Linked DNA regions of Nothobranchius furzeri. The protein of the gene in region 1 interacts with the protein of each later gene in a pairwise test. Links are inferred from orthologs where the notes say so. Each region holds a gene or a part of one and is shown in the gene's direction. Other genes may lie near its edges. The genes, in order: traf3ip1, waca, exoc1, KAT8 regulatory NSL complex subunit 1, snap91a, smc3 and smc2.

Evidence for each region.
Region 2: the proteins of traf3ip1 (region 1) and waca interact in a two-hybrid assay, tested with the Homo sapiens proteins (2 studies listed by BioGRID and IntAct). The link is inferred for Nothobranchius furzeri from reciprocal best matches to the Homo sapiens genes TRAF3IP1 and WAC.
Region 3: the proteins of traf3ip1 (region 1) and exoc1 interact in a two-hybrid assay, tested with the Homo sapiens proteins (2 studies listed by BioGRID and IntAct). The link is inferred for Nothobranchius furzeri from reciprocal best matches to the Homo sapiens genes TRAF3IP1 and EXOC1.
Region 4: the proteins of traf3ip1 (region 1) and KAT8 regulatory NSL complex subunit 1 interact in a two-hybrid assay, tested with the Homo sapiens proteins (2 studies listed by IntAct). The link is inferred for Nothobranchius furzeri from reciprocal best matches to the Homo sapiens genes TRAF3IP1 and KANSL1.
Region 5: the proteins of traf3ip1 (region 1) and snap91a interact in a two-hybrid assay, tested with the Homo sapiens proteins (2 studies listed by BioGRID and IntAct). The link is inferred for Nothobranchius furzeri from reciprocal best matches to the Homo sapiens genes TRAF3IP1 and SNAP91.
Region 6: the proteins of traf3ip1 (region 1) and smc3 interact in a two-hybrid assay, tested with the Homo sapiens proteins (2 studies listed by BioGRID and IntAct). The link is inferred for Nothobranchius furzeri from reciprocal best matches to the Homo sapiens genes TRAF3IP1 and SMC3.
Region 7: the proteins of traf3ip1 (region 1) and smc2 interact in a two-hybrid assay, tested with the Homo sapiens proteins (2 studies listed by BioGRID and IntAct). The link is inferred for Nothobranchius furzeri from reciprocal best matches to the Homo sapiens genes TRAF3IP1 and SMC2.

What each region holds. Positions count from the first base shown.
Region 1 is NC_091754.1:2,492,623-2,496,122, reverse strand, and holds part of traf3ip1 (TRAF3-interacting protein 1), read left to right. Parts: intron 1-181; coding exon 182-257; intron 258-510; coding exon 511-531; intron 532-859; coding exon 860-983; intron 984-2,206; coding exon 2,207-2,293; intron 2,294-2,402; coding exon 2,403-2,532; intron 2,533-2,603; coding exon 2,604-2,637; intron 2,638-2,740; coding exon 2,741-2,817; intron 2,818-3,500.
Region 2 is NC_091747.1:30,792,142-30,796,119, reverse strand, and holds the start of waca (WW domain-containing adapter protein with coiled-coil), read left to right. Parts: upstream 1-1,178; 5' UTR 1,179-1,380; coding exon 1,381-1,421; intron 1,422-1,614; coding exon 1,615-1,645; intron 1,646-2,646; coding exon 2,647-2,839; intron 2,840-3,978.
Region 3 is NC_091748.1:40,504,423-40,507,922, forward strand, and holds part of exoc1 (exocyst complex component 1), read left to right. Parts: intron 1-88; coding exon 89-316; intron 317-404; coding exon 405-537; intron 538-624; coding exon 625-734; intron 735-1,730; coding exon 1,731-1,880; intron 1,881-3,042; coding exon 3,043-3,151; intron 3,152-3,500.
Region 4 is NC_091756.1:53,988,067-53,992,308, reverse strand, and holds the start of KAT8 regulatory NSL complex subunit 1, read left to right. Parts: upstream 1-1,442; 5' UTR 1,443-1,489; intron 1,490-3,281; 5' UTR 3,282-3,353; intron 3,354-4,242. UniProt on the Homo sapiens protein: Non-catalytic component of the NSL histone acetyltransferase complex, a multiprotein complex that mediates histone H4 acetylation at 'Lys-5'- and 'Lys-8' (H4K5ac and H4K8ac) at transcription start sites and promotes transcription initiation.
Region 5 is NC_091745.1:52,417,704-52,421,203, forward strand, and holds part of snap91a (clathrin coat assembly protein AP180), read left to right. Parts: intron 1-285; coding exon 286-363; intron 364-573; coding exon 574-693; intron 694-3,500. UniProt on the Homo sapiens protein: Adaptins are components of the adapter complexes which link clathrin to receptors in coated vesicles. Clathrin-associated protein complexes are believed to interact with the cytoplasmic tails of membrane proteins, leading to their selection and concentration.
Region 6 is NC_091744.1:4,686,321-4,689,820, reverse strand, and holds part of smc3 (structural maintenance of chromosomes protein 3), read left to right. Parts: intron 1-316; coding exon 317-434; intron 435-1,915; coding exon 1,916-2,091; intron 2,092-2,670; coding exon 2,671-2,751; intron 2,752-3,095; coding exon 3,096-3,260; intron 3,261-3,500. UniProt on the Homo sapiens protein: Central component of cohesin, a complex required for chromosome cohesion during the cell cycle. The cohesin complex may form a large proteinaceous ring within which sister chromatids can be trapped.
Region 7 is NC_091747.1:76,184,972-76,188,471, forward strand, and holds part of smc2 (structural maintenance of chromosomes protein 2), read left to right. Parts: coding exon 1-168; intron 169-267; coding exon 268-411; intron 412-3,500. UniProt on the Homo sapiens protein: Central component of the condensin complex, a complex required for conversion of interphase chromatin into mitotic-like condense chromosomes.

The sequences.
Region 1 (3,500 bases):
TTTCCTGTTTTTAGACACCTCATGGTTCCACCTTTCATCCTTTTTTGGGTGGTTTTGTATGTTGTTAGTTTTCTGCTGCTGTCCTAGCTGGAGGCCGTGCGTCGTGATGAAATACGACACACGCTGCCTAAAGCAGGACAGGCTATGATCAAAAATAATTCTGTCGGTTCTTGTTTTTCAGTTTGAAAATCCAACCAGAATACCTCGGCCATCGTCTGCCAAAGGGCAGAGGAGGAGGCCCAAGATCGGAGGTCAAGGTAATTCCTAACACCTTCCCACACTTGAAACGTTGTTTTAAAGATGCCTTCCTGGAAACTGAACACGGTTAAGTCTGTGTTTTCCTTCTACTGTTGGAGTCATGGACTTCTTCCTTTAATGGCGTCCCCGTGTGTCGGCACAAGCTTCGTGAATCTGATCAGAATAAACTGTTAATGAATCTTCTCTTCATGCTTCAGATTTGAGATGCTGCGTTACTTTGTGACAACGTTCTCTCTTTATTTCTCTCTACAGACGACTCCGACAGCGAAGGAGGTAAACGTCTTCCGTCACTTTTGGACACCAGAACATTTATAGCTTGCAGCTGTCGGCTAGATCTCCCTAAAGAAGCCTTAATTTAAAAGGATTTGTTCTGTTTGTGACACCAAAACGTGGCTGAGTGATGACATCACAGTGGCTGAGTGATGACATCACAGTGGCTGAGTGATGACATCACAGTGGCTGAGTGATGACATCACAGTGGCTGAGTGATGACATCACAGTGGCTGAGTGATGACATCACAGTGGCTGAGTGATGACATCACAGGACTGTTTGAGGTTAACACCAGTAAAAGAAAAGTGCTAAGAAGTTTGTGATCCACAGATGGAGACGTTCATGTAGCCCAGAAAGACGTTCCTCAGGAGAACGGTGGTTCCTCGGCTCAGCTGGATGCGGTCTCCAGGTGTGTGGGGTCAGCACCTGTTACTGTACCTGTCTGGAGACCAAGGTTGTTTCTGATGTCATTAGAAATAATTATGTTGTAGTCATGACTTTGCACTCTGTTGCCCTTTATTGTTATTATAGAAAACTGACTTTCCCTGATCCTGCTGCTTTTTACAGTTTGGATAAAAAACTAAAAACGTCTTCTTCTGACTGGTCGGTAATGATCGGACCGCTTAGGCTGCTGGTCGTCCTGCGCAGCATTATTCTCCTATTTGTGTTATGTTGGGTCCACTTTTGATCAAAACTGATAAATTACCAGCATTTCCCACTATTAGATTAATAAAAATAAATAAATCTTCATCAAAACAGAGCAACTCTGCTTTTATGTTGATAGCAGGTTAGCTAATTAGCATTTTGAGGGATCGTGAAAAGTGAAACTCCAGCACACACAGCACATTTTACAGGTTACACACAATTATTTCAATGAACAGACAATTTCATATTCTTTCATTAGTATCCCCGATGTGAAACTCTACAGTTATTAGATTTCTCCTCTGAAGTTCGGACGGTTTACGACGCAGTGCATTATGGGAAACTGCTGTCCCGAGTCCGCAGAAGGATGCATTGATGCATTCTCTATACAGGGGAGGGTGCACAAACATACCTGGGAACTCTGCGCGCCCTCGCCATGATGCGTTAGGATTGGAGCCGTCCTTGAGCTGTCACTGATGATGCGAGTACACAAGTACAGACAAGTATGCAGAACAAGTACAGACAAGTATGCATAACGAGAAACGGCCATGGACTCACGGCTAGTTTAAGCTAACCGTTAGCATTAGCAACTCCACCACATAACAAAACTCCTCCAGGCTTGTGTTATTTGTGGAGATAAAACATCAACTCTCAGAGCAGTCGGTGGTAGAGTCGTGTTGCTGTTAGCCAATCAGAGGAGAGATGTCCAAATATCAGGAAATAAGACTCCAAAGGCCGCTGTCTGAAGCTCAGCTGTGATGTTGGTCACTCGTAGGTCCTAGAAGTGGTCCGCCGGTATATTTTCCCCCAGAGAACGGCTTACAAGGCATTCATTCCTACTAGAGACCACTGCAGATGTATAGATTAAACAAGTGAACCACTCCTTTAAAGCCGTGCAGTGTGGCTGTTAAAAACCCACGCATCTGGTAAACCTGACCCCTAACAGTGTTCTAGATAAACTGGGGAGGTAATGGGTAGTAAAACGTATTTAGCAGCTGTTAGATGGCGTTCATGTGTTCTCCCTCGGTTCTCCAGACAAGCAGCACGTCCGAGCAGCGCACGCCCCGCACCTCGTCGGGTCAAGAGACAGGAGAGCCACACAGACGTGACCCCGACCGAGAGGTGACATCATCATTCGTTTAGTAAAAGTCCGGCCTGAGTGAGAGTGATTATAAACCGGTTGGTGCAGCGAGTCTGCCAAGTTTCACCGAGAACTTTCTTCTTTTTTAAGGTTATCAAGTGCCAAGACCCCGGCCCCCGTCATCATGGACGGGAAGGCACTGTCGGAGGATGAGGAAGATGAAGACGAACAGTTCCTGGTGGAGGAAGCAGTCCCCCTACCCTCAGATGTTCCTGTAACAGTAAGTGACGCCGATGGGATCAGGGATGATGGGATAAAAATAGTTTTGATCTTGTTTCATCTCCACTGCAGGAACCTGCGCGGGAACTGGACCGTGAGAACCACGGTGAACACAAACACGTCTTCTTACTTTCTCCTTCTTTGTCTATCCTGGTGAACGGTTCCTGGCTGCTCGTAGGAAAACATCTTTACTGTGTTTCCTGTCGCAGGTGGACTCGTGAAGAAGATCCTCGAGACCCAGAAAAACTATGAACCATCAGAGTCTTCCTCTAAACCAGCAGAAAAGGTAAGGGATGAGTGGTTTAGTCCACTAGAGGGCAGCGCTGGCTAACACCAGGCTTGGTGCCGGTGACCCAAGGCCAGGTGTGGAAGTTTGATCCCAGGGAGCACTTTACCCCAGCCCCGCTGCCACGCTGGCTTTTATCACAAGAAAGATGTAAACAGACGGAGTGGAGACGTGTAATTACAGCCTCCAAACCACAAGAATGTCCCTTTTCACCGGAGCTGAGGGCCGAATAACCAGACAAGCATGCATGGCCCCTAATGGACCACACGCAATTAATACGTACATCTAGATGTCTGGGGCAGAACACGCTCGCTTTTCACCGCTTGCTCAACACATTTGAGGCGTTTTTAAGTTTCTGCACAATTAGGAAAACATGGGAACATGTTTCTGGATCTTTGATTTATTTATTTAACCTTCTCTACTCTAATGCAGCTTTTTATTTACATCTGATCAGCTTTTGTTTTTATGTAACAACAGATCAGATCTTATTGATGAAGACGGTGTATGGGTTCCTCTCTTGAAGCCAGAGAGAGAACTCTCATCAGTATTTGGACGTGAAACCGTTCCCAGTTTGGTCTGAACTCTTTGGTGTGAGGTGGCATGTGCCGTCTGCTTTGGGTGGTCCCGCCGCTGAAGCGTGATCTCCCCATCATCCCATCCTCGCTGACCACCCTGACTGTGAT
Region 2 (3,978 bases), on another chromosome or scaffold:
CATGCCCATCACTCTAAATAATTTATTTCCTCCTGGTCTCACTGATGTTATATATCCCCATCAAGGAAATTACCACCTGAAGTGTTGCGCCAATGCCCTATTCAGTGGCACTACTGGTTACTGATGCGGGTGGTGGTCTTTACGTGTGTTTAAAAGAATTGCAGCTTGTGTTTATTTCCGATGATGTTTATTAGTTCGTCTTCTTCCAAAATGTCCATGATCCATTTACTCGCAATTAAAGTGGTTTACAATGAATGCGTTACTTGCCCCAATGGCTGTCCGCAGAGTCCATTACACACAGCCATTGTCCTCACTACACAGTAAAAAAAACTGTTTGTCCCATTTCAGCAACATCTGAGTCTGATCTGAATTGGTTTAAGTAGGCTGGTGCTTCCACAATCAAATCAACCAATCAGCTGAGGCCAAGCCTCCTCTCAGGTATGCAGACATAAAACACATTTGACTCCTACACCACCTTTGAGGACCTCTATAGGAATGGTTCTTTTTGGAGTTTTTCAGAACCCTCTTCCAAAGCAAAACTTTTGCTCTCTCACCTGTTCCGTTATTTTCAGGAACAGGTGCATTTACTTTTGCTGAGGAAGGTGTTTCCTAACCAAAACACATTTTATGTTTTTTTTTTTTTACAAAATCAAACATAGTTATAGTGATAGTTAAAATATAACTATAAATAAATGTAATACATAAAAATGTAAAACCCCAACAGGCTGCACCAAAAACGGCCATAGTTGCCCACCCTACGTTGATTACAGCTATGCTCTGGAGAGTGAGGAACCCACCCAACATGGCAGCCACGCTTTTACGCTCTCCAGCTTCCAATGAGGCGTCTACGTAATGACGTCGCAATAAGGTTGCCAAGTTTGTATTTAATACATGTTTTCCGTAAACAAGCCCCCTTTAAATAACAAGTTATATAAAACTGTATTAATAAGTAATTAATATCCTTTTCCATGGGGCAATAAAATATTTTTGTCTTATATAATTCACGCTCTGGCTTAAAAATGTTTTTTGTTAAATCTGATTTAATTTAGTAGTGTTTAGTAGCATTTGATCTATTTTTACATCTATAAAAATGTCAAAAAGATTCTACACTTAACTAGTACATGTATGAATACAGAATCCTTGCTCAAGTATCTGGCAACCCAGCAAGAGCTACTGCTGCGTTTTGATCGCTAGCTAGTCGGCTGCGTGAGAGTGGGAGATGGACTGAGTGAGGGTGCTCTCTAGACCTGTTCCCGATAGCATTGCTATACCCACAAGCTAGGCTGAAATAACAGACGATTTTTATTGCTACATCAACAACAAAAACAGTGTCATTATCAGTCTTTCACATCCCACTCTAAACACACTAACACGGCATTGATGGTAATGTATGCAAGGAAACAACCGAGACTCGGCGATGGGTAAACATCATTTTAACGTTACTTATTTTCTTTTTCCTCGTAGCTACTGCGCTTTCACAATCCGCCATTTTTACTGAAAGCCAAATTAAGTGACTAGAAACTTGAGCGTTCAGCTGTTGCTCCACTGGAAAACACATTTTCAGTGCCGATATTTGATGTAACACATTCACAACTGTTTACTTTCTGTCTGCAGGTGCGACCGAAGAGATTCTCAGCCCTATCAGGTACTTGTTTGGACACCCAAGGCTGTTAGCATGCTAGCAGCAAAAAAGATTAAAATGGACACTCTAGCTCAGGCTTCTGTGGTGTGCAGGCCTCGGTGCGGAAAATAACACGAAAAGTAGGAGTCTCGCTTAAAATCACAATTTAAACACAGAAAACACACGCAACGCGTCTATTTTGGGGCCCACGTAACGTACGCGTACACAGGGCCGTCGAATAACGCTGCTTTGACACGACAGAAAGACTTTTACTGCGGATCAAAGCTAATGTTAGCTGATAGCCTGATTGCTCGCTATTCCGATTAGGGCGCCGCCGAAAATCAGTCATTTTAAGGATGTAAGCAGCAAAATGCGACTAGTTTATGGCCTGAGGCTGTACACGTAGAATAAACATGACACTGAAGCGAAGACTAATCAGGACGTGTCTCCTGAAGTGTTGCCTGGCCTTTTAAAAGCCTGGTTGTACGTAACTATGTTGGTTTATGAGCGCCTCTCTATGCCAGGTTAGTGAGACTACCTCTAACTCTCATTAATCAAGGTGAGCTCAATAAAATTGCGTTCTGTTGGATCTTTATCAACTTTACTGAAGCTGGCGTCATAAAGGAGATATTAGGGTTGATGTTCACTCAAGAGGCAGGTGTCTTAATGGTAATGAAACAGTCTGATGTTCTTAATGACTGGAGGTTCTGCTCTTGACGCGTGATTTTAGCAGGTAAATGTCCTCATTTACAAACGAGGTGTTTCAGAGGGAGCGCACAGAGAAAAATCAAATGGAAGGAATCTGGTTTCTCATAGTGGAATGAAGCAATGTTTAGTCCTTGTGCTCTTCCTCATTTCCCCCCTCTGCCATGAAATTGTGTATTTGTAATAACACAAGCTAAACGTGACTCAGTTTAAATCCTTTGGTCGTGTACATTTGTAATAACACGCATTATGGAAGTTCCTCTGATGTAAACCAGCTGCGATTACTACAGTTCCCTGACATGTTTGTTTTGTGTTTACAGACTCTTAAGTACTCATCCAAGAGCCATCCAGGAGGGGACCATCGACACGAAAAGACGCAAGACTCCTCTGATGTCACTCCTCCCTGCAAAATGCTCAGGAGGTCTGACAGCCCTGAGAACAAACACGTGGAGAGCACAGGACACAGCAGAGCCAAGGCTGTCCACACACACCGGGTCAGAGACCGGGACGGAGGTAAGGTCCTGGTTAATGCAGATAACTAGATGAGTATCACCAGTACGCCACATAACTAAATGTTCACTAAGTTTACCACATGCTGCCTGGTCAGTCAAGTGTAAAGAGCAAATCATGTTAAATATACACGGCTTTCACCGCGGCTTGAAAGCCTGGAAAGTGTTTGAATTTTTAAAATGATGAATTTTCAAGATTGTGAAACTGGTTGTAGAGAAGCAATCTTTCTTTTCTCAAGACGAGGAGGATTTTTTAAGGGCATGATGGTTTGGCTGTGTTTACTTTAGCAGCATGCTATCCAGGTGTAGTTAGCTTGTCATCTAAAGATGTGTGTGCTGTAGCGTGAGCCACAGTTAGGTCCAGCATCTGGGTGTGTGTGTGTGTGTCTATGTTTACTATAGCTCCATTCTCTTGCATCATTTTTGACCCATGAGCTGACTGGAAGCAGAGGAGACTTGTGTAATGATAAATGCCTGTGTTGGTGGAACCAGTGGATGCTAAGGCTGGGCAATATGGACCAAAACTTATATCTCAATATATTTTTGCTGAATTCCCATATAAATATATCTCAGTAGTTTTCCTCCTGTAAAGTATTTACAAGTTAACTCACTTCAAGCTGTCTTGAGAAATTATAAACATACATCAGTATATTAAATGCATAAAAATGTGTTGATTCTTGTCAAACTTTAACCGTAGTGCCTATTCTCTGGTGCAGCGGTCTGTTAACACACACACACGCGCGTGCACACACACAGTTGAGAGCTAGAGGTGTATCAAATGTCCCAGAGGCACTTTTTAATTATATATTTATAATTGATATAAAATAATTTCAATTTCTTCTAGAGGTGGGCCATATTGTATACTTCTTGCCCAGAGAAAAAACATCTATCATGTTAAACTAAATTTATGATGATGTAATTGCATCTACTGAAGATCACATGGGTCATGCACCATGGAGTTAATAGTTATCAGGGCAAACATGGCTGCAGTCTAACAGTATTGGCTCATATCAGCGATTATACTGCAATGACTCAGAGACTCTGGTTGCTGTTTTATGAGTATTATTTTCAGGCTTCTGTCACCGTAACCCACGCCTTCCTAACTCTTCACTTGTTCAACAGAATCGCTCGTAACAGAGTACT
Region 3 (3,500 bases), on another chromosome or scaffold:
CGGTTGGATTTAAAATGATGACTTTAGTCGTCAATAGCAGTTAATGAGTTAACCAAAAAGGCATCTCTGGATCTGTGTCTTCCTAAAGGCCAACATCCAGTCCATCATGGCATCAGAGAAGCAGGTCAATATCCTGATGCAGCTGCTGGATGAAGCTCTGACAGAGGTGGACACCATTGAGGGAAAGCTGAGCAGCTACGAGGAGATGCTCCAGAGCGTCAAGGATCAGATGGATCAGATCTCCCAGAGCAACCGTCTCATCCAGATCAGCAACACCAACAATAACAAACTGCTGGATGAGATCCAGTTCTTAGTGGTGAGGCGCTATAACACACAGTTGTGTGTGTGTGACACTGAGTCACAGTGTGTTGTTAGATGACTCTGGTTCCTCTCTCCTCCTGTAGAACTACATGGATTTGTCAAAGGGGCACATCAGGGCTCTGCAGGAAGGAGACCTCACCTCCCCTAAAGGGATAGAGGCCTGCATCAATGCTTCTGAAGCTCTGCTGCAGTGCATGAGCGTGGCTCTGCGGCCAGGTATTGAGTAACTTCTGCAGAAATAAATTGACTTTGTAGTTTTTTTTTAGTGTTCAATCAAATGAAAGTGTACGTTACTTCCTTCAGGTCATGAAAAGCTGATGGCTGTGAGGCAGCAGCAGCTTCTGTTTGCTGAGCTGAGAGACACGTTTGCTCGCCGCCTCACCAATCACCTTAACAATGTGTTTGTTCACCAGGTGAGTGCTCAGTCTTGTCCTTTACAACCGTGTTCCTACTCAGGCTGGACAATTTCTTTCATGTGGATTTTCTGTACCTTAACTTAAAAGCAACAACATGTTAAATGCTGCTGTAGCATGACTGGCTGTGGCTGGTCACATGACCTTATGTCATTTTTATCAGCTTTGTTACACAGAAACAACAAAGCTACACAAAATATCAGATATCTGGTTTGACGTGGCTTTTTTTCTGTTTATATACATCAGAGAATAAGCACTATGAAGCTACGGGGACAGAAATCAGACTCAGCTTTTGATCAGCTTGAACAATGAAGACCTATGGTCTCCTGGCTCTTTTTTCTCCTTGTGAGCTTCCTTTTTAGCTGACGCTCTCTTCCTGGGCTTCCTGTGTTATTTTCCTAGCAGCTGTGTCCCTCCCGCTCACGACTTTCCTTGTTGCTCACTTTGAATCATCCCACTCTGCTCTCTGTCTCTGTGTCAGTTCAACCACTTCAGTCATTTCAAAATGACCATCCCTCAGTATTATAGGTCCTCCTGTCTGTCACTTCCAGTGAGTACCCTCACAGCAACCCCCCACCTGGCCTCTTCTCGCTGTTTGATCTCTCACTGCTCACTCAATGAGGCTTCTTCCTCCAGCGTTTTCTAATGCATGAGGTAGATTTCTAACTTCTTAACATCCCTTGTCTGATGAGGAGCTGATGAGGCTGTGTCCATCCTTCGTCTCCTTCACCAGCTGACTCAGCTGAGGGCTTTTCATGTTTGCGTTCTCACATGGCTCACATCACAGAAGGCTGTGCATGTCTTGTACTAAATGAAGTCAAGAACACACGTGCTAGTCCTGTGAGGGAGTAAGGGGAAGCATCAAATCCTCAGAGGTATAAAATCTGTGAGTTTGTGATAAACAGCAAGCTGGAGTGTGTGCATTTCTGGATGAAAATGGATTTTACACTCCTATAACGTGTTGTTCTTCTGACCCTAACGCTTGTTTTTCTGAAGGGTCATGATCAGAGCTCCACCTTACCTCAGCATGCAGCTGAACTCACCCTGCCCAAACACAGCCCCCTCCACAGGGACCTGCTGCGCTACGCCAAGCTCATGGAGTGGCTGAAGAACACCCACAGGGAGAAGTACGAAGGCCTGTCCAGGGTCAGTCTGGTAGTTTTTAAAAATATTTATTTTAAGAAGGAAAATCTGTGGCAAATGTATATGACGTCTGCCAAAAACATCTTACTGCTTTCCTAGTGGTTAAATATGCAAATGTTTGAAAATAGAGATGATATACCAGTGAGCCAAAGCATCAGGCCAGTGTTTACCATTTTTATATCTTACATTAGTCCATATACCTCTTTAGGAGAGCTGATTTTATAACGGACGTGCACAGGCAGCCCGGTGCTGCTGCTAAATGTTATTAAAGGTTCCATATCGTGCTATTTTAAACCTCTGAGAGCAAAGGTAGGCTCAGTTCATGATAAAAGATTACTGTTGGCACTACTGAGGTGTCACTTATTTTAAATACGAGTTATTTCCATCAGTGTGAATTTAAACCAGCAAATAAAACATGTTTCAGTGAAACTCCGCCCACGCCTACTCTGACCAAAGGGCCTACAGACGAGTCTCTTGCCGCGTTGGCTACGGTAGTTCAGAGGTCTGCCTGGCAGCTCGTGTGCTGACGTGGGTTTGAATCCCGGCGGTGTCGGCAGTAATTTATTAAGCAGTTTTTATATTTTAGTTTTATTGATTATTCCGTGAAAAACGAGAGGTATTTTTCATTAAGAAACAAAAATATCACATTCTAAAAAGTTCCAAGAAGTGGATTTTCCATGATATGGCCCTTTAAATGAAAACATCTGCCTACAAATGCTTCGTAACATTATTTTTTACAGACATTTTTTATTTACTCACTTTAAATGTAACATGTGCTCAGTTTATTGATGTAAATACTAAACAGTGCAAACAAACTAAGATTCAGCAGTTGATTAAATGTGGGTTTCGAGCACTGATGGTGGTGACGTTTTAGCATCCAGATAAGGTGGGGATCTGAAGCTGTTATCTTGTGGTGCTGGGACGCCGGTTCAATAATAAAAGCTTCTTGAATCTCGAAACATCTCGATATTTACCATAAAAGTTGGCCTAAAAACGTCACCCGACAGCTGACTATGACCTCTGTAGTTCGACATCGGTATTGACATCATAGAAACTCAAATCGGCTGATCTCTGTTGAATAATGGCAGCTACTTTGTGCTGTCCAGCTGGTATTGTGTGTGTGTTTACGTCGTACATGTGAACAAATATCCTTTCTCCTTTTCAGACCTACGTCGACTACATGAGCAGACTGTATGAGCGAGAAATCAAAGACTTCTTTGAGGTTGCTAAGATAAAGATGGCGGGTACCTCCAAAGAAGCAAAGGGAAAGTTTGGTAAGAGTCCTGCTGTGAAGCACACCTCTGTGATGGAGGTAATGTCGGCGTCTGACTGATAGTTTTCTGCAGGATCATTTCTTTTTGTCTCTAATTTATGTATAGAATATTTATGATGAAAGGGTTAAACAGAGCTTGTCATGTACAGCCTTCCCACAACATATTTAAACAAAATCATAAATGCCTCCCAAGTGTTGAAGCTGTATTTGATGTTTTATCTTTCAATAATGCTCCTCTTCCCTTTGCACCAGACGTTTTATGTCAGATCTATTTATTATCTGAATAGCAGCCTTGGTTAAGCTTTAGTCTTGGCAGAGTCATAGGAGCCTATATTAGCTTTTGTCTCAGA
Region 4 (4,242 bases), on another chromosome or scaffold:
GTAAGAAAGGCAACAGGGGAAAGAAAAACTTCCTTTGAACAGGATAAAATGGTCCTAAAATCTGGAAAAGTTTCTTTTGACTAAAATCGGTTTTAGGAGAGCTGCAGTGATGGAGCGAGAAAACACCTCCCTCTATGATGGCTGGTCCTGGTGGATGTAGACGCTGATGAGAAGGAAGGTGATTTTGTCCTATCTTGAGTTTTTGTCATGAGAAACTATGGAGGTCTCATCACTGACTCTAGAGAAGATCGTTTCCTCCAGGTCACAAGAAACTTCTTCAGAAGCATTGCAGTGTTTGTTATCAATTTGTTATTTTTGTTTGATCTTGAACTACGCTAGTGTGAGCAGCTGAGACTGCTGTTTAAAATGGTTTTATGCATGTTTAAATAAAATCATGAAAGAAGTTTATTTATTTCTGTGTTCAGTAACCCAGTTTCCACAAGGATTTTGGCATTTGTACCACTTGTTCCACAGCTCCAGGACTTAGACCAAAACCAGTAGTTTCCACCTTTAGAAAGAAATTGTTACAGGTCTGTTGAAACCAAATCCAGAATAATGAAAGTTCCTTTGGAGATCAGCTACAATATTCCTTCCAATGTCAATGTTTTTTTTACCTCCAGGTATCCTTCACCTGCAGGTGAGATTCATTAAGTTTCAGAACTGTTCCTCCCTCAGTTTTTAGACCTTCAGGTACTGTGTCATAAACCAATAATAATAATATTAATACGGTAATAATCATCATCATTATCATCATCAATGTTTGTTGTTTTGACTTAAGTTCGTGTTCCATTCATTGTAATTTTGTAAACAAGCCAGCAGACTTCATAACTAAGTTAGTTCTGGTCTTCCCCAGAAGTACCACTGCAGGTCTGATGAGTTCCTGTCCATCCTCTGGCTCTTGGTTTAACGTGTGCAGGACAACATTTAGCCAAAACTGTCCTCCAGTGAACAACTGGTGCCATTTGTGTCTCGTGGCCTGCTTTAGGGGGACAGCTCCCAGACCGGCCGAATCTCAGCCCAGCAGGACGATGGGCTAAGATGCGATGAACTGGATGAAACGAAACGTGTTGATTAAACTCGTGAGTTGCGAAAAGCGTGGTCTCTGTTTATCTGATATGAAGCCTTGAGCCCAATTCTGAGCCAAGTCTCTAAAACAGCAACACAACGAAGAGTGTAGTTCTGAGTGAAAACATCAGCTGGGCTGGGAGCAGCTAGCATGTCTGCGATGGAACAACACAGTGACCAGGGCAAATGAAAAGCAGTCGGCCGGTAAAGACACGGGAGTTGTGAGACTCGGGCTGTAATTCTTAAATTAAAACAATTTTAGACAATTAAGTTTCGTGATATGAACTTTCATATACATTTCCGCTGTACGGGCATTTGCTAAGACTGACAGCTGCCGGAACCAATAGAAAGTCTGAAAATAAACCGTCAACCAATCGCAGCGCAGAAGGCGGGGCTTATTGGTGGTTTGTAACAGGACAAGCAGGTAAGTAAGATACTCGTTATTTTTTTAAAAACAACGAACAGTTTGCTTGTCAGGAAAAACTCTCTTCTAGTTAAACGCGCGGTTGTTTTATTTAAGTTTGATTATTTTTTACTGTTGAATTTTATGTTAAACGTATAAATTAAATTGCAGTCATTGAGAATTCTGGTACATCGGGAAGCAAACAAGCTAACGCGTATTAGCATCTGTAACGTTAGCTTTTCATAGTCTTTTTGACTGAGCTTAAATGTATCATCAAAAATCACAGGTAATTCGTTCCGTTACTCTCTACTCTTTAAAGATACATTTCTTGACATATTACCATCATATTTCCACCCTCTGTGTTGGTGTTGGTCAGCATGTAAAACTTTTAGTTTTCATAAATTTGTAACGTTAATGTGGTTAGCTCGCTAGCTTTAGCTCGTCAGCTGAAAATATCGGAATACTCAACAACAGTTTAAAAGTTACCTGTGCTGGAAGCTTCTGATGTAAAGTCACAACTTTAACCATTAGTTGGCCACGTGAATAATTATTCATAAATGAAATGTTTAAAATTAATCACCGTGCATCATTTCGTTCAGTTTAATGAAACATTAAAAAATAAACTAAACCAAAAATTTATTGGACCATAACATTAAATAAATAACCACAATACAAGACATAGAGTAAACTGTACTGTTGCACTAATTTAATTGTAAATTTTTTTAGTTGATGTAAGTTATAAAAAATTGATTTACCACCACTGTCTATGAAAGCAACCAACGCTGGTGTTACACCGTGATCCCACAGGGGGCGCTGTAACGAACACATTCAGACTGGGTCTGAGAGAAACAAGTAAAGCAAACGAACAACAACAGTTTTAGGTTCAGACTGAAACAGGGAGCCGAAAACGACTAAAAACATGTTCAGATTCAGTTTCAACTGCAAAAACAGCTCAGATTCAGATACAAAACTGACACAGTAATCAGAGCTCCACTGGTTGTTGTGGAAGTTATTTCTCTGTCATTTCCTAACACATTTGCTGCATCTGGCGTTCATCATTATTATTTACGTGTTTAAGAACGCGTTTTAATTACAAATTCTACTTTTACAGTAGCAGAATTGATGTGAGTCTTGATTGAGCACTGGAGCAGGTGCTGACATCTAGTGGTCAGGTTGGAAATCGTGGAAATTCGGTCAAAACCAGGATAAAAAATATTAAACTGTGTATGTTCTGCCTTCACCAACTTAGGTATTTATGCAGCTTCTCTATTTTTGATCATGTTGAATCAAAGGCTTTTTTTCCTATTTTAAATTACACATATAATAATAATAATAATGAAATGGTTTAAATGAATGAATCACTGAATGACTGATTTAAAAATGATAGTCCTAAACATGTAGTTTATAACTTTCCTTTTATGTTGGTGAAATAATTCCTCTCTTGAGGAACAAATACAACAAGTCAGTTGTTCCCAACCTGGGGCCAGTGAACTCAGAACTGTTGGTTTAGTTAGGTGTAACACGCCAGACAACATCCTTAACTATTTGCTATAAAACTAATGAAGGTGTCTGCTGTGGTCGGTACAGCCTGGTGGTTTATTTCAGGGCCTTTGAGTTGTGCCAAAGCATTTTTAACTCGGTTTAATTTGTCATCAAGAAGCTTAGTTTGGAATATTTCCTGGAGACAGTAGATTGTGACCGCTGTGAAGGCTTGTCTTTACCTTTATTATTTATTACTATTATTAATTATTATGAAATAAGATGTTTTTGATTATCTGTTTTACTAACTTTTTTATTTATTTATTTTTTTTAGGATTTTTGTGTTGTATCTGGATTCATGGCGTATTGGACTACCAAGTGGAGCATTTCATCAATGGAGCTAAAGGTATTCCTTGAGTGCATTAATGTTTTAGCCCTCTTATTTTTACCTGAGGTCAAGGATCGTCTTCTCCAGTTGCCGTCCCTGAATTCCTGCGGACATTGTGGAGAAGATGTGGCCAAAATAACCTCTCTGGGCCTCCAGAACCCAGTACACCGTTGTCTCATTGATTCAAGCTATTAAACTGATATCCGTTTGGAGAGATTTAAGGCAGCTCAGATGGAAAACTAAACCACAGGAAGTTTGGGGAACACCTTGGGTTCCATCAGGAGTAACACATGGAACACTCTGGAAGCAGACACAAAGCTGGATGGGTGGAGTTAAACGTCATTAAGTCATTTCAGCTGTCTGAATACCTGAGACGTCCTAGCACACATTTGTAGCTTTTTCCCTGTGATGTAACTAGCATCACTTCTACCATCAGACGATAGCGCTTGTTCCTACTCAGACCTTTCCCATGCGATTTATTTTCTCACATTTTAAGAAGACATGTTGACAGGCAACTGAATCATCTCCTTCCTTAGACGAACCTTCAACACAGGAAGTGATGAACTGCCGTTTTTTTAAAAACAAGATAAACACTTGAACAAAAGCTTTAGTTCCATGTATTTATTCCAGGTATCGTGTGAGTAAACAATGTGTTCTAGCTTATATTTTCCATAAATAGTACCAGTCTGAGAGGTTAATTGAGCTGCAGGTTTGATGTTTAATGATTGGTACCATGTGCTGTAGCTCTCCTTCATGTGGTCAGACTGCAGCTGTGGTGGTGGTTGATCTGGATCCTGTTTAGGGTCACATCAGAGACCTGGATCCGTCTTGTCCCGTCTCCTGAGGGAAGGAGACTCAAGTGAAGTGCTTATAATCCTGATTAATCCACTCATTAGAATATCACCAT
Region 5 (3,500 bases), on another chromosome or scaffold:
GACGGGTCCCTACCACAGCCATAGCCTTGAGGTACCCAGGGTGAATCTTGTCAACCCCTAGAGCTCTGCCACTGCGTAGATTCTGGACCACCTCAGTGACTTCTGCTCCAGAGAGAGAATATTGTTTTAGTAAATATATGTTTTCGTAAAGTCAAGGCATGAGATCACAATTTTAATTTAACAATGACGCAACAAGGATTTTGTCCACCCTTCATTGTTTAAACTCCTTCTGGATCTAAGCGTTTCACTTGTGACAGAGTTGTTAATGTGGATCCTTGTCTTCAGGCTGCCACTGCTCCAGGAGCTCCAGGATCAGCTCCACCTGCTGCAGCTATGGTACCAGCGCAGCCTGGCTTCGGCATGGTGAGCACATCTGTTTGGTTAAAGAGCATTTATAAACAAAGACAGTAATTACAAACCACTAAAATATCATTCTGACTTAGATCTACCTGTGTTGAATGAAGTTTTAAATCTGAAATTTTTTATTGAATAACTCCTTTAATAAATACAGAGGAGTGGAGGGGGGTTCATACTATTCCGTCCCAATCTAATGAGATTTTCTGATCTTCTCAGTCCCCTGCAGGAGGACCTGGGGCCCCAATGATCCCCCCTATGATGGGGCAGCCTTTGATGAGCCAGTCCATGATAAGACCTCCATTTACAGGCGTGACTGGAGCTGCACCTGGAGCACCGGTAACTCAAAACACATACTGTAACATGCTCACACACTGGTGATTACAGGGGCTTGAACAGAATGGTTGCTGCCACTGCCATCCCAGGTTAACATTTCTCTACATTTTGTTTAAATTTGAAAGTCCATCATCTCCTCTCTGCTCCCTTACTGGTTTTATCTGCTAAGGAAAATGTCACAATGAGCAGGTTTCAAGCCCTTGCAGACCCCACATTGATAGTCTCAACCCACTTCAGACTGTGTGCGTGCATGGGTGTGTGTTCAGTCACGCCACTCAACAATGGAAGGAAAAGAACTGTGTGGCTTAATAACTGAGACATTTTATAGAATCGAACAGATTAGACTATCATTCCCATGGAGGGGAAATTCACTTAGGGTACAGAAGTGCTACAACAGCACATACACTTAGAGAAAAAGGAAGACAAAAGATAATAACAACTTCTGTCTGTTCATTCTGTGTATTTGTCAACTTGCATTGCCATAGTAATTAGCTGAAACGTTAGCGATGCATGATAATTACAAAGTTACACACAAAAGTAGTGAGATAATAACCTTCAACCACAAAAAACTACAAATAAAAAGTAAACTTGGGTTTCCAGAACTATACAACAGAGGTGTGGACTCGAGTCACATGACTTGGACTTTGGTCAGGCTCGAGTCATTATTTTAACGCCTTCTGACTTGACTTGATAAAATCAATAAAGACTTATGACTTGACTCTGACTGGAATGCCAATGACTTGCGACTTGAATCGACTTACATCTGTTGACTTGATGATGACTTGAGCATATTTGATATTTTAACACAAAAGTGGCACGACATGGACAAAATTCATAAATCATTCTTTGTTCTGGGTTTGATCTTGAACTGCTGAATTCAGCAGCACTTTGTTTATAATCAGTTTCAGTTGCACTTTCTGCTTGTTTGAGCAAATAAATGAAGCTTTAAGAAGCTTTATTTCTGGAATGTATTTATTATCATTGTCATTAAACTGAAGTTGGACAGATGACTTGAATATGACTTGACTTGGACTTCCACATTATTAAGTTTGGACTCGGCTTGGACTTGGTTGTCTTTGACTTGGACTTGATTCAAGACTTGACTAGATAGTCTTGTGACTTACTTGTGACTTGCAAAGCAGTGACTTGGTCACACCTCTGTTATTACAGCATAAGGGACATAGGCGTATTAATGTAAAGCCGGTAATGAACACATACTGAATGCTGCATAGATGTTATTGTGTACCAGGATAATGCCAGCACCAGTTAAACTGAGGAGTTATACGCTCTTACTGCAGAGGGGATGAATGACCTACGGCAGCGTGCTGTTTTACATCTGGGATGTCTCAGTCTGCCTCTGAAGGAGCTGTCCGTGGCTTCCACAGTGGAATGCAGTGTAGGTGGGAGGGTTTTCCAAGATGGAAGTCATCTTCCCCAGCACCCTCCTTTTACACATCTCCTTAACTGAAACTAGTTGGCACCCAGAACCAAGCTGGCTTTTTTAACTAGATTGTTCAGTCTCTTTCTGCCTCAGTCGGAGCTGCCTGAGCCCTTACAGGGTTATTCAGAAAGTCTTTCTTTGGTACCAGTACTTACTGAATATTTTTGATGAGAGAGGTATTGACTTTTTGCACCTGTCACCAGATCATAAGGGTCCACCATATTGGATGGCAAATGCATAGTAAACAGCGGGCATGGGTAAGCCCAGTTCAGTTATTGTACACACCTAGGTGGGGCAACAGTGAATTACAGGAGTGTTGAACGGAGGGAAAGGTAGTGCCTAAGGTTTTTATTTTTTTGCCAGTTTAACCTGGTTTCTTCTGGTTCAAGCCCAGTTCCCTTGTGGGAAGAGTTAGCACACCTAGGTTGGTAGAGAGCAGTATTTACAAAAGTTAAATGTTAGCTAGCTTATGAACGTTAGCATACGTTCTCCTTGCTGCCACTCACCTATGTAAACAAGTTGCCAACTTTGCCAGATTTCATCCCGCTGGATTTATAAAATTGTGTCAGCAACAGCATTTTACTTTGCACTGGAGCGGATTAAAAACAAACTAAAAAATCCGGATCCATACCAGATTTTGTCGCTGGTGGGGTCACCAGGTTCAACTACTACTCACACCGGGGTGAGACAACACTCATCATGCTAAATAAATCATTTTAATTTTCACACAAGTAATCCTACATTGAAACAATATTATTATAATAAATAATTATCACTATAATAAAAGTTCAGTAGATGACAGCAATGCACATCCTCCATGGTGAAAAATAGAATTATCAATATATAAACATCACATTTGTCACTTCCGGTCCATCACAGTCAGTCCCTGTCTTCCTCATGAAATATACGAACATTAATTTTACCCATTAAACCATGTTCACTGCAAATCTGAAAATACTTTGACGGCTATTATCCATGCAGTTAATTCCTGTTTTCAGTCTCCATCAAAGTTATTTAGAAAAAGACAAGTTGGGTCTTGTCTGTGAGTGTAGTCAACCGCACAACAGACTAGTACATCTTTACTGTGAAATCAACTAAATAAAAGCAATAAAAAGTAACAAACTGGCTTGTTTTGACTAGCTTGAATGAAGTGTCAACCTGTGTAAACAGTCGTTCTACCGTCCATAATGGCTAAGGGGGTCATGAACAGCTTGACGTCACGTGTGATGAGTCAATATCGTTTCGGTACCCATCCCTACTTCTGACTGAGCCAGGACATTTTGTGTCATTTATTTTACACATCCAGGATTTTTTCCCAAGTTGGGTTAGGTGGGGAAGCGTATGGCTTGCAGAAGACTTGAGCTAATGC
Region 6 (3,500 bases), on another chromosome or scaffold:
CGAACTAGAGGAAAAACAGGCAGATTCCTCCTCTATTTACAAACTCCTGGGGATGCAACAAGTGGGCGCGGTGCGTCGACTTCCGGATCTGACGTCGACAAATTTTTAGAATCGAGCCGTCGACTTCGTCGAGGCTTCGCTACAGCCCTAGTAATTATGTCTTGGTTTGTCACATTAAAATCATACCAGCTGTCCAAAAATAAAATTAACCTTTAAATTGAAAAAATGAGTTGTGTGATATTCTGGCATGAATGTGTTAGGAGTATAACAGGAACAATTTTTCATTTTCATTGCATTATTTCTGTGTTTCTTGCAGATCAACCAAATGGCCACAGCACCTGACTCCCAGCGTCTGAAGCTCCTCAGGGAGGTCGCAGGAACTCGAGTGTATGACGAACGAAAGGAGGAGAGCATTTCTCTAATGAAGGAGACGGGTAAAAATCAACCAAAAGCTTGTTTATTTATTTGATGCATTCACTTTTCTCCACTCTATTAATTGTAAATTTGTAAACATAATAAATAAACACTCAGTGTTGAGCTATTAATGTATTCTGGTGTAAATATAGGATATTAGGAAAGATGGATTAGGGCTGAAACGATTCCTCGAGTACCTCGAATAATTCGATTACAAAAAATCCTCGAGTCAAATTCTCTGCCTCGAGGCTTCGTTTAATTCATGTTTAATTAATTCATGGCTTTGCAATCGCCCGGGGTCATGTTTCACCCGGACCGAAATAAGTGACGCACATACACGCTGCACTGAATGCACACGCGAGTAGCGAACGCAACTTAACTTTCTCTTAAGCCATGGCAGACAACGTGGACCCTGGTGGAGTGCGAAAAAGACACAAAATGTCAAAGGTGTGCGACCATTTTTCACGTCGTAAGGCAGAAAACATAGTCCAGTTTAAATACTGTAAAATGGATTTAGCCTACCACAACACCACATCCTCCATGCTGCAGCACCTGACCAGGAAACATCCACATGTAAATGTCACTTCTGCAAGCGGACTCGGAGTCTCTACAAGATAATGCATTTTAGCCTGTATTTCTATATATTCTGCAGACACTGTGCGACTTTTTCTTTTGTAGCACTCAAGTTTCAGCTCACACCGTGCATCTGGTAGCAACACGTCGGTCTTAAAATGTGCTAAAAATAGCAGTTTTTACAACACGTCTGACTTTTTACTGTGTTGTTACTGATGTCCGTTGTCCCTCGGGATTGCTGCAGGAGGACACAGGTATTTATGAGAGTGGCGGAGGAAAACGAAAGAAAGTAAATAAATGTTGTGTGATCAGCGTAATTTGACAAAACCACGGCAAACATGCTTTCTCGACAATCCTTGTTAGTGTGAGAAAAAAAGTGTAGAAATTAAAACGGACGTGTGTTAATAGGGAAATAGCTGGCGAGCCATGTTCGCGCATGCGCCGTGAGCGGTTCTGGTGCTGTTTGGGCCGCAGCCGCTCGCATTTGTTTACTGTGAAGTTGAAGTGCTGAAGTTTTGAAAACGAATTTTGAATAAAACTTGAAGAATAACTGGCAATTGCTTTCTCATTTCAAGAGGTCTTTCATATTTTATAACATGCTATTTGATATGTAATGGTTTACAAACGCAAAAGGGTAATTTATTAGAGTACTCGATTAATCGATTATAGATTCGATAGAGTACTCGATTACAAAAATATTCGATAGCTGCAGCTCTAAGATGGATACTGTTGTCTTGTGATTGCAAGATAACATGTCTGTTGTTATTTTTTAATATTCTAGTTATAGTTCCACATAACAGAAGTGCACGGCAGTGAACATTTATTATTGTTGTTGTTGTTGTTATAAAATTCCTAAGGTTAGCTAGCATGCCATTAGTACATTTAAAAAAACATTTCCAAAGACGTCCCTAATTTGTGTATTCCACAGAGGGGAAACGAGAAAAGATCAACGAGCTGTTGAAGTACATCGAGGAACGTCTACACACCCTGGAGGACGAGAAGGAAGAGCTGGCTCAGTATCAGAAGTGGGACAAGATGAGAAGAGCTCTGGAGTACACCATCTACAACCAGGAGCTGAACGAAACTCGAGCAAAACTGGACGAGGTAATGTGGTTTAGAGCGGGGGTCACCCACCTGGTGCCCCTAGGTACTAGATGAGGTGCCCACAGGCCTTTTCTCCAAATGGCTTCTGCTGCCATCATTTATAATCACAAATGCATTAATAGAAATTTAAAAGTCTATTTATTAAACATGATGTTTAGCTTAACGCTGATCTGTTCTAGTTCAAATGTCACTATTGCATCAGCCTGGTTGCCCTTCCAACGGCTCGATAATTGTGAAGTAGCTCTCAGCTTCACCTAGGTTGGTGACCCCTGTTTTAGAGGGTTGTAAAGATGATAAATGAGCAAAAACAACATTTCCATTGTAGAAGATATTCATATCATCTACTGAACTTTAATGTTATAGTTAAGTTTTAGTAGCTAAACGTTGAAGAGGAAGAACTGATTTCTGTAATCGCTCCTCTCCATATTCCTGAGACGCTTCACAAGAACAAAGAAAAGACAAATTATTTAAAAAAAATAACAAAGAATCAAGGTAGTGATGGAACTGTTTACAGAACTTACTGATTTAGCTTTTATTGATTCTATTCTAAGACTTGTGTTTTGTTTGGGTTTTCTCCAGTTGTCCAGCAAGAGAGAGACATGTGGAGACAAATCCAGACAGCTGCGAGACGCTCAGCAAGACGCTCGAGACAAAGTGGAGGTAAAAGAGAAAAATCTCACACTGTTATTAATATTAGGATGCATAAGTGGAGTTTTGAGCTGATGGAGGAAAGATAAGGAAAATAACTGCAGCAGTCGTCCTTTAAACATGTTTTTGTTTACTCAGTAAAACTATTGATTATTTAGTTGGTTCTCAGTTTGAATTATTTTAGCATTAATAAAAAATAAAACTACAATAATTTACATACTTTGTTACATGTAGCTGTTAGTATTTGGTTATGTGGAAAGTAAATATGTCTCCCACAATTCTTTGTAGGCGTTTTCTTTTCTGCTTGTTTTGTGAAGAAACCTGTCCCTTTTAAACTTTTGGTTGCCGTGTTTTAGGAGACGGAGCGCGTTGTGCGTGAGCTGAAGTCCAAAATCTCCGCTATGAAGGAGGAGAGAGAGCAGCTATCAGCAGAGCGCCAAGAGCAGATCAAGCAGAGGACCAAGCTGGAGTTGAAGGCCAAGGACCTGCAGGATGAGCTGGCAGGCAACAGCGAACAGAGGGTACGGAAGCCTCGGATCTGCGTCACGCTCCACACGTGATGATGCACCAACACCGCTCCCCTCTCCTCCATCCTCTTCACTATTACTGAGTCTGCAGTCTTTACTCTTTCCAAGCACATTTTCACCCCAGCAGCTGCTTATCATAGATTAGCTTTCAGTTTGTTGAGAGGCTAATAAAAGGTTTAGAATGAGCACCGTAACTTATAGTGGTGAAATTAATGTAGTTTACCGCCTTCTAAA
Region 7 (3,500 bases), on another chromosome or scaffold:
ACCAAAGAGGTCCAGAAGCGGGCCGAGGAGAAATACAAGGTGCTGGAGAACAAAATGAGAAACGCCGAGGCTGAGAGGGAGAAGGAGCTGAAGGCCGCCCAGCAGAAACTCAACGCAGCCAAGACCAAAGCTGATGCCTTCAGTACCAAGTTAAAGCAGAAACAGCAGGTGTGATGGTGGAATATTTAAAAAGTCTCATCTGAAGGATCTGGTGTCCATCGTGTCTTGATACATGTTGAGTATTCTCTGATCTGTGTTCTTGCTCAGGAGTCTGATGCTGTGGCTCTGGAGCTGGAGGAGCTGCAGCGGGAGCAGGCGGGTTACGAGCAGCAGATCCAGGCTGTAGACGAGGCCACGAAGGCCATCCAAGAGCAGATAGACAGCATGGCCTGCACCGTGTCGCAGAACAAGGTGTGTGTGTGTGTGTGTGTCTGACTCCACAGTGACTGCGAACATATTCAGTTGTTTTTGTTAGTAGATCACTTCAACAATGAAAATATTCTGACTATCATTAGCCAAACATTTCTGTTCAAGCTAACCTGCACCCATTAGCTGCAAGGTTTTATCTGAATGCAAAGCAGGATGTTGAAATAAGTCATCAACTTCCTGATGGCAATCCTATTTAGAAAACGGATAGCTTTTGTAGACATTTTGTCTCACAGATAAATGTGAAAGTTTTTGAATAAGATAAACAAGCAAAAATGAAATTTCTGCATGAGGATTAAAATTAATAATGGTTCAGCATCCTGTTACTCTTTCTAATTTATTACTTGGTGCTGTTACTTATGTTTTTTACTTTATTTTATTTAAAACTTTATGTTCTACTTCCTGCTTTATTTAAAGTTAGGGTTGGATCTTCTTGAAACATCTCCAGATTAGACCTGGGACGATAACAAATTTTGCTTGATGATTTACTGTATTGTCCAAAAGAGAAATTTGACGATTAACAATATTATTGTAGACATTATCAAGACCAAAACAACTTATTTAATGTTAATATATCATAATAATTAGGGCTGTAAGAAAATATTGATATGACAATATGTTGTGATATTTTTTCCAGCGATATTATATCGATATTTAAAGCCGTTTATCAAATTTCTGGAAGAATTGACATGTAAACGTTTGTGTATTTTTTTTCTTTTGGTGCAATTCAAACACCGACCACCAGTGGGCAATGGTGTGCAATGGGATTAGTTTCCACTGTTGAAATACAAATCTGTTATGGTTCAGATACCTCGTGTTAAAGACGTTAAGTATTAGTTTGGACTGTTGATTGAATCTTCTTACAATAAATAAATCAATAATAACGTCTGACTGAATGTATCGCAATATATTGTGATATATTGTATCGTCTCCCCTGTATCGCGATACGTATCATATCGCCATTTCACTCAGTTAGAAAATATTGCACCAAAAACATGAAAATAGACCGTTTTTTTTTTCTCTCAAAACAATACAGGTGCTGGCCAGTAAATTAGAATATCATCAAAAGGTTGAAAATATTTCAGTAATTCCATTCAAAACGTGAAACTTGTACATTATATTCATGCAATGCACACAGACCAATGTATTTCCAATGTTCATTACATTTAAATTTGATATTCATAAGTGACAACTAATGAAAACTCCAACTTTGGTATCTCAAAAAATTAGAATATTCTGAAAAGGCTGAATATAGAAGACACCTGCTGCCACTCTAATCAGCTGATTTACTCAAAACACCTGCAAAGGCCTTTAAAAGGTCCCTCAGTCTTGTTTTGACGGCACCACAATCATGGGGAAGACTTCTGACTTAACAGCTGTCCAAAAGACAATCATTGACACCTTGCACAAGGAGGGCAAGACACAAAAGGTGATTGCTAAAGAAGCTGGCTGTTCGCAGAGCTCTGTGTCCAAGCACATTAACAGACAGGCGAAGGGACGGAAAAAATGTGGTAGAAAAAAGTGTACAAGCTCTAGGGATAACCGCACCCTGCAGAGAATTGTGACGACATACCCATTCAAAAATGTGGGGGAGATCCACAAAGAGTGGACTGCAGCTGGAGTCAGCGCTTCAAGAACCACCACGAGGAGACTCATGAAAGACATGGGATTCAGGTGTCGCATTCCGTGTGTCAAGCCACTCTTGAACAAGAAACAGCGCAAGAAGCGTCTCGCCTGGGCCAAGGACAAAAAGGACTGGACTGATGCTGAGTGGTCCAAAGTTATGTTTTCTGATGAAAGCAAGTTCTGCATTTCCTTTGGAAATCAAGGACCCAGAGTCTGGAGGAAGAGCGGAGAAGCACAGAATCCACGTTGCATGAGGTCCAGTGTAAAGTTTCCACCGTCAGTGATGGTGTGGGGTGCCATGTCATCTGCCGGTGTTGGCCCACTCTGTTTCCTGAGGTCCAGGGTCAATGCAGCCGTCTACCAGGAAGTTTTAGAGCACTTCATGCTTCCTGCTGCTGACCAACTTTATGGGGATGCAGACTTCACCTTTCAACAGGACTTGGCACCTGCACACAGTGCCAAAACCACCAGCACCTGGTTCAAGGACCATGGTATCCCTGTCCTTGATTGGCCAGCAAACTCGCCTGACCTTAACCCCATAGAAAATCTATGGGGTATTGTGAAGCGGAGGATGCAATACGCTAGACCCAACAATGCAGAGGAGCTGAAGACGACTATCAGAGCAACCTGGGCTCTCATAACACCTGAGCAGTGCCACAGACTGATCGAGTCCATGCCACGCCGCATTACTGCAGTTATTGAGGCAAAAGGAGCCCCGACTAAGTATTGAGTGCTATACATGCACATTCTTTTCATGTTCATTCTTTTCAGTTGGCCAACATTAGAGAAACAAACATTTTTTCATTGGCCTTTAGAATATTCTAATTTTCTGAGATACCAGATTTGATGTTTTCATTGGTTGTCACCTATAAATATCAAAATTAAACGTAATAAACATTGGAAATACATTGGTCTGTGTGCATTGCATGAATATAATGTACAAGTTTCACGTTTTGAATGGAATTACTGAAATATTTTCAACCTTTTGATGATATTCTAATTTACTGGCCAGCACCTGTACATACAATGTGTCAGCAACCCAAAACTGCACTTCAATAATAATAATAGTTTTCTTAACCTCGATATATGAGGCTGGAAAAATTGAGTACTTCATTTTCATCTGCCGTATGATTTACTGGTTATCGTCCCAGCCCTATTCCAGATTAAACTGGTCTGTTCTTCACACAGCTCAGGTTGTTTGTGTTCCAAAGCTTTAATCTCTAGAAATGAGTCAGATTAGCCGTTTGTGTCTGCTCTGTCTGAACAGCCAGTTAAAGAGTAAGTCACCCCCTACAAGAAACTTACTTAACTCCCTCTTCATGTTTGAAAAATGCAACAAATGCTGTTGCCTGGCAGACAGAGAGGGCGGAGCCACTAACCAATACACACACAGGCTCACAACGGCATTGTGACATCATAATGTACCAGTTTACATCATAGCATACCTC